Linked DNA regions of Callithrix jacchus. The protein of the gene in region 2 interacts with the protein of the main gene of each other region in a pairwise test. Links are inferred from orthologs where the notes say so. Each region holds a gene or a part of one and is shown on either strand. Other genes may lie near its edges. The genes, in order: RIOK3 and CASP10.

The links.
Region 1: the proteins of CASP10 (region 2) and RIOK3 interact in binary tests that used the Homo sapiens proteins (3 or more experiments, as listed by UniProt). The link is inferred for Callithrix jacchus from reciprocal best matches to the Homo sapiens genes CASP10 and RIOK3.

What each region holds. Positions count from the first base shown.
Region 1 is NC_133514.1:66,569,707-66,573,524, reverse strand, and holds part of RIOK3 (serine/threonine-protein kinase RIO3), read right to left. Parts: intron 2,841-3,818; coding exon 2,643-2,840; intron 1,346-2,642; coding exon 1,186-1,345; intron 1-1,185.
Region 2 is NC_133507.1:122,267,009-122,271,329, reverse strand, and holds the start of CASP10 (caspase-10), read right to left. Parts: upstream 2,821-4,321; 5' UTR 2,643-2,820; intron 1-2,642. UniProt on the Homo sapiens protein: Involved in the activation cascade of caspases responsible for apoptosis execution. Recruited to both Fas- and TNFR-1 receptors in a FADD dependent manner. May participate in the granzyme B apoptotic pathways.

The DNA.
Region 1 (3,818 bases), on a different chromosome or scaffold from region 2:
TCCGAAAACACAGGGGGATAATGGCAGTATTAGGAGTATTTTCTCAACCTAGAAGGTCCTCAGATTGAATTCAGTTGCTATTTCAAAGCATGTAGTTTCCTCGAGATTCCCGACACATGCCTTCCAACTTAACATCTGCACTCCCTACTATTTTCAGTTTCCATCATCACATTCTTATGATGAGACCAAACCTGTTTCCTTTCCTTCTCTGTTAAAGCTATTAACATTCAATGGCCGAGTGCAGTGGCTCACACCAGTAATCCTAGCACTCTGGGAGGCTTGAGCCCAGGAGTTCGAGACCAATCTTGGCAACATTGTGAGACCCTGCCTCTTATTTGAAAACAAAAACAAATACAAAAAACCATAACATTCAAGACAGCACACAAACTAATGAGGTACTTTATCTGCTAAATGTAGTAACAGCAAATTTTATTTAATGAAGTTTTGTGAAATATAGCTTCATGTACTATGTCACTAATCCTAGCAATAAAGACTTCCCTGGTTAAGTCTGTGAGTTTTCTAAAATTATTTAAGACACACACATATTGATATAAAAACAACTCTTCAGTGTTAACATTCCTTCACGAACTTCTTGTTTTTGTTACAGCACCTTGAAATAGCACTATTTTAGGAACTTGGTTTGTTTTTTTAAAGAGATAGGGTCTTGCTCTATATCTCGCCCAAGCTGGAGTGCAGTGGCACAATCATAGCTCACTGCTGCCTTAAATTCCTGGGTGCAAGTGATCCTCCCACCTTAGACTCCTGAGTAGCTGGGACTACAGGTGTGTGCCACCATGCACAGCCAATTTTTAATTTTTTAAAACAGAGTCTCGCTTTGTCGCCCAAGCTGGAGTGCAGTGGCACGATCTCGGCTCACTGCTGCAACCTCCACCTCCCTGGTTCAAGCAATTCCCCTGCCTCAGCCTCATGAGTAGCTGGAATCCCAAGTGCATGCCACCACGACCAGCTATTATTTCTGCATTTTTAGTAGAGAAGGGGTTTCGCCATGTTGCCCAGACTGATCTCAAACTCCTGGGCTCGAGTGATCCTCCCGCCTAGGCCTCCCAAAGTTCTAGATTACAGGCGCAAGCCACCATGCCTGGCTTCTTTAAGGACATTTTTTTAAAGTTTAGAGGAAATATTTTTTAAAGGCAGTGCGTAAATGCTTTTAGAAGGACAACTTACGTGAAGAGTTTGATAGTAGGCTTCTTTCATTTCTTCACTATTGAGCTTTACTTCTTTTAATTTAGGAGCTGGAACTTGATCATGGCCAATAAAAGACATAACTAAAATGTGTTTCTTGAGTAGTACAACTGTTGGACAAGGAATTCCAGCTCTCTGCATTCTATACAGAAAGAAATGATTAAGAATATACAGATCAGAAGGAGAAAATATGTCATTTATTCAATAAATATCTAATCAGGGCCTGCAATGAGCTGGCACTATGTTCTACCCTGGTGGTGTGGGAATACAAAGACAATAAAACACAGCCTCTGCCTGTAGGGAGCTCATGGACTGATGGAAATGACAGACAAGTAAAGAGACAAATACAATGCAGCGTGACATATGCACTGGCAGAGGTATGGGTAGGAGCTACAGGAGCACCGCACCAAGGATGGCTTATTCGAAGAAGAGATGGGGAACAGGAATTAGCCAGATGAAGACAGTGCCAGGAAATGCAGGGAGGTGTTCAAGAGCACAGTCCATTTGGGGAATGTATATCAATTAACATAGCTGGGTCTGTGAGTAGCAGGCAGGGCAACGTGGGCTGAGGCTACAAAGATAGGCAAGCTCCACTACAGAAAACTGTTAAAGAATTTTAAGAAAGGCAGGAATCTCAGCAGTATAGAAAAGAGATTGGAGAACAGCAAGACCTTCTAGACAATGATTCTACCTGGAATTTATTTATTTTTATTTTTTGAGACAATGTCTCATTATGTTTCTTGGGCTGGTTTTGAACTCCTAGGTTCAAGCAATCCTCCCATCTCACCCTCCCAAGTAGCTGGGAGTACATGTGCATATCATGCCTGGCTTTTTTAGTAAGGAACTCTCAGTAGAGGAATTTTGTAACTAATATATATAAGTAATTACTTTTGAAAGCAAATATCTTTAGAAAAGAACAAACTAAAATTAAGCTTTCAAAAGATTAAAATAATGGAAAAGTTTTTAATGAGAAGGATTATTACTGAATTTCTTGGTTGATAAATTATCTGACAGAAAATAAATTACTTAGAAAATTCAGATACAAGTATAAAAACTAAAACAAAATGTAATTTGATTGGTAAGAACTTACTCCCACAAAATTAAACTAAATGTAATAAACATTTTCTAAAACAAAAAAGAAGCCTTTTTTTAATACAAAGCCTAATTGGATGCTGGAAGTTTTACTTCTTAATAAAAGCAATTTAAAAATGGCATTTAGATACGTGATAAAATGTCTAAGGCAGAAAATACCCCAATTTCCCTCAAGTTTTACTGAGGAAAGAAAAAAGAAAATGGCTTTTTCATCCTAAAAGGATGAATTCAGGTTATACACCTGGCCTTTATTTCCATAAATGAATTTAGAAGCAAGCATGGATTTTTTTATCCTAATGCAAAAAGGTATTTACCCAAGATGATGTCTACCACAGTATTTTCTTTACCTTGTGAGATTGTGCATTTCTTTTTCTGCCCACATGCGGATGATCTTACGTGGATTTAGTTTACTGAAGCGATCTTTAAACCTGAAATCATCTTTAATATATTTGTCACGATTCTTAAACTCATTAAGGGTTGTTTTAAATACCTTGATGGCACATTCTGTAGGTATAACTTTACTATCTTCCTTTTCATCCTCCATGCTAAGTGGAATAAAAAAAATAAGTCAGTATAAGTTGCCAGCTCACAAGAACAACAATTTCAAAATAAAGATTCTGTAACACTAAATTAGATCTACCTTCTCTCAGTGTCAAGTCTGGTTTTTTAAAGTTAGGTTTTGGATCTTAATAAAGCCTTAGGTTTTGGTTTGATTTTTTAAATAAAACATACTTACAAATAAATTGTCAACCAATTTTCAACCATCCGTAACATAATGTTCTTTACTTAATGACTATGGAATCAAGCTTGAGATACAATGAAGACATACACACTTGAAAATACGCTAGTCTCTCTGATATGTTCAGGAGCAAAATTCAATAAAAACATAAATAAAACAGCTTTTAAAAAAATAACTCTTTCACTCCCAGCAGACATAAATGTGAGTAAAAGGGTTCCTGCCCCATGAGTCTACAAGAAGTGGCAGCAGAGAATGAAAGAAGTACATGAATAGGAAAGTTCCCTTTTCACTGGAAAGGTCAGGCAAGGCTGCAAGGCTTCATGGCACAAGTGCCATCTGAAACAAACAGGACAATGGGTAGGATTTGAACAGCATGAACAAAAGCAGAGGCAGGAAACCACAGGACATGTCTGATGAACAACAAACACTATAGTTAAGGCTTGGCTGGAGAAAGAATGAAAAAAGTGGAGCTAAAGGATGGGACAGAGGTGCATCTGTGAAGAGCCTAGACAAACTGCTGGAGGTGGTGGGGAATTGTGAGGGCTTCTGAGTGTGGCTCTCTCAAATGCGCACTTCATGAAGATCAAAATAATTATACTGTCAGCATGGAAAGGCTCAGGGAGAGGCCACAGGTGTGGGGTCGACTCAGGATGCTATTGGCAATAGTCCCCCAGTAGTGAGCTTCAGTCTTGATGGTGGCAGTGGGAATGAAAAGGTGGATGGAATGAGAAACAATATTAATATTTACCTTTAGATATCTGATAGGATCTTAATCTGGGAAAGA
Region 2 (4,321 bases):
TTCAAAAGTGGGCAAAGGATATGAACAGACACTTTACGAAAGAAGACATATATGAGGCCAACAATCATATGAAAAAATGCTCATCGTCACTGGTCATCAGAGAGATGCAAATCAAAACCACATTGAGATACCATCTCACGCCAGTTAGAATGGCGATCATTAAAAAATCTGGAGACAACAGATGCTGGAGAGGATGTGGAGAAAAAGGAACACTTTTACACTGTTGGTGGGAGTGTAAATTAGTTCAACCATTGTGGAAGACAGTGTGGCGATTCCTCAAGGCCTTAGAAATAGAAATTCCATTTGATCCAGTAATCCCATTACTGGGTATATATCCAAAAGGCTATAAATTGTTCTACTATAAGGACACATGTACACGAATGTTCATTGCAGCACTGTTTACAATAGCAAAGACCTGGAATCAACCAAAATGCCCATTGATAATAGACTGGATTGGAAAAATGTGGCACATACACACCATGGAATATTATGCAGCAATCAGAAATGATGAGTTCGTGTCGTTTGTAGGGACATGGATGAATCTGGAGAACGTCATCCTCAGCAAACTGACACAAGAACAGAAAATGAAACACCGCATATTCTCACTCATAGGCGGGTGATGAAAAATGAGAACACATGGACACAGAAAGGGGAGTACTAAACACTGGGGTCTATTGGGGGGAAAAGGGGAGGGCCAGTGGGAGGGGGAGGTGGGGACGGATAGCCTGGGGAGAAATGCCAAATGTGGGTGAAGGGGAGAAGGAAAGAAAAGCACACTGCCATGTGTATTCCTATGCAACTTTCTTGCATGCTCTGCTCATGTACCCCAAAACCTAAAATCCAATAAAAAATAAAAAATAAAAAAAAAAATTTCATGGGTCGGCTGCTCTGTCTATGGAGTAGCCATTCTTTTGTTTACTTATCTAATACATTTGTTTTTACTAAAAAAAAAAAAAAAAAAAAAAATTACGTAAATAAATGTTTCCATCTGACAAGTTTATAAACTACAGTATCCTCTATACTAAACTTCATTATAATCAGAGGAGCAATGCAGTGATAACATTTTCATTGTAATATTATTTATTCTATAAGCACTTGAGGTATATAGTCATTATGCAGAACTTCGCTATTTTTAGAAACAGGAAACTACTTTCTAAAGGAAGGAACAGGCAGTGTGCAGTGGCTCACACCTATAACCCCAGCCAGGAGTTCGGGATCAGACTGGGCAACATGGTAAAACCCTGTCTCTACAATAAATACAAAAATTAGCCAGGCATGGTGGTGCACACCTGTGGTCCCAACTACTCAGGAGGCTGAGGCAGAAGGATCATTTGAGCCCTGGGGGTGGAGGGTCCAGTGAGCCATGATCATGCCACTGCACTCCACCCTGGGTGACAAAGGGAGACCCTGTCTCAAAAAACAAACAAACAAACAAACAAACAAAAAAACTGCTAGACCTCAGAAGGAAAGAATGGTTTTAGACAAGAGTTGCTCAAATCAATGTAGGAAGTTGAAAATTACATGAGTCAATGTTTCCATCTGACTAGTTTATAAACTACTGTATTCTCTGTACTAAATTTCATTATAATCAGAGGAGCACTTCATGAGGCCAAGGCAGGTGGATCACTTGAGGCCAGGAGTTTAGGACAAGCCTGGGAAACATGGTGAAACCCTGTCTCTTAAAAAATACAAAAATTAGCCAGGTGTGGTGGTGCCTGTGGTCCCAGCTATTTAGGAAGCTGAGGTGAGAGGATTGCTTGAATCTGGGAGACGGAAGTTGCAGTGAGCCAAGATTGTGCCACTGTACTCCAGCCTGGTGAAAGAACGAGACTCCGTCTCAATTAAATAAATAAATGAAGGAAAGAAGGAAGAAACACATAGCAAAAATCAAAACCTCCATAATAAGGAGTAGTTATATCGAGATGGCATAACTAGAGATAATACAAATTTTCTCCTGGGCTTTCAACTGAATTTCTCAAATTTTATTTATACATGAACATACACATTAATTTCAGTGTTAAAAGAAACAAAAAATGGTGGCTCACGCCTGTAATCCCAGCACTTTGGGAGGCCGAGGTGGGCAGATCACCTGAGGTCAGGAGTTCAAGACCAGCCTGATCAACATAGTGAAACCTCGTCGCTACTAAAAATACAAAAATTAGCGGTGCATGGCAGTGCATGCCTGTAATCCCAGCTACTTGGGAGGCTGAGGCAGGAGAATCACTTGAACCCGGGAGGTAGAGCAAAACTCTGTCTCAAAAAAAAGAAACAAAAAATGTCATTTTAAATGTGATGATCCAGGGGATCTTCCCTGCTGCTAGCCCTGAGGTCAAATGAGTGGTTTCCTGGACCTGTTTCTATTCTACCACATCTTACATTTGCCTTGTGGTTTCTTGACAATTCCAATTTCTAGTTTTAATGAGTCTGCCACACTTTGTCTCCGGGAACTAACATATTTCTGCCGGTAAAAGGCTATGTTGGAGGCTTCTGGATTTTTGAACTTTTGTTTTCCCAGGCATGGCAAAGAAATCTAAGCAGAAATAATACCATTGCTGACAAGTTTTTGCAAGTTTCTACAACATGAAGCCATGAAGCAAAGGAAAAGATCCAAGCATGAGACTCTGTGGTATTTAATTACATACCTTCAGATCAGGCTCCACCAATCCTCTGGAGGTAAACGATTCTCAGGGAAATTGCCTGAAAACAAAATTTTAAAGAAAGTAGAATCCTCTATGTGCTCCAAGGTCCAAGGAAGCTCCCAATTTCGCGGGAAGAGACTTCAAGACTTGCTGGCTGTTGAAGTGAAAACTGGATCCTACTGGGCTGGGTAGCCTGATACTGATTTCCTGCCAATGTCGTCACTGCTTATTTGGCTTTTTCCCTCCCCTTTTCCAGGCTTAAGATAACTGACAAACAGCGTCTCCTAAAGGCTAATTTACAACTTTCTCACTGTAGAGCTTGGGGTTTCCCCATGTAAAGCGAAATCTTCCTAGAAATGAACCCACGGAAGCCATGAAGTCCTCCAGGCTTTCCTTAGGATCTCCATTTTCTTGTTAAGTCAAAAAGGGAATCTATCTATAGTTGGTGGGAAAAGAATAAAAACAAAACAAAAAAAAAAGAAAAGAAAAAAATGGGAAGCATCTATTTTTCTAATCATCTCCTTCCCCAAACACTTAACTTTTCAAATAAAGTCAAGTTAACCCTTTCCTTAGTCCACATGCAAATAAACAAATAATTTTTTTTTTTTTTTGAGACTGAGTCTTGCTCTGTCACCCGGGCTGGAGTGCAATCGTGCAATCTACACTCACTGCAACCTCTGCCTCCTGGGTTCAAGCAATTCTCCTGCCTTACCCTCCCAGGTAGCTGGGATTACAGGCACACGCCACTATGCCAGGCTAATTTTTTTGTATTTTAGTAGAGATAGGGTTTCACCATGCTGGCCAGGCTGATCTCGAACTCCTGACCTCGTGATCCACCCACTACAGCCTCCCAAAGTGCTGGGATTACAGCCATGAGCCACCACACTCAGCCAATAAATAAAATTTTTAAATGATAAAAGAAAAGTGGGGATTCACTTTCAGTCTTTGTGGGAGAAATTAAGAAATAAAAAGAAAAGGGGAAAAAAAAGAAAAGTGGGGATGGTGAATTACAAGCCCATTTGGAGGTATCTGCAAGAGACTCAACCAATTAATGGTAGACAAAACTGACAGTGCATGTTCTCACAGCACATTCAAACCAGAAAAAAAGAGACTTTGAAGACATTATTTCTAATAAAACAATACTGAACACTTGCTTTTTTTTCTTTTTTTCTTTTTTTGAGATGGAGTCTTGCTCTATCACCAGACTGGGGTGTGATCTCAACTCACTGCAACCTCTGCCTCTGGGTTCAAGTGATTCTCCTGCCTCAGCCTCCTGAGCAGCTGAGACTACAGGTGCGTGCCATCACACCCAGCTAATTTTTGTATTTTTTAGTAGAGTCAGGGTTTCACCATGTTGGCCAGGATGGTCTCAATCTCTTGACCTTGTGATCTACCTGCCTCGGCCTCCCAAAGTGCTGGGATTACAGGTGTCAGCCATCGTGCCTGGCCTAATACTGCACACTTCTATTGTAACTACCATGTGCCATAGGGTATTTACAAATTTTTACTCATTTCACCATCCCAACAACACCCCAAGATAAAATACTATTACTATGACTCCTGCTCTAACATGTGAAAACTACAACACAGAAAGGTTAAGTAATTTTCCCAAGGTCACACAGTGAGCTACTGGGAGGGCCAAGATTTAAACCAGCAAGTTTGGCTCAAAGTCACTACACTAT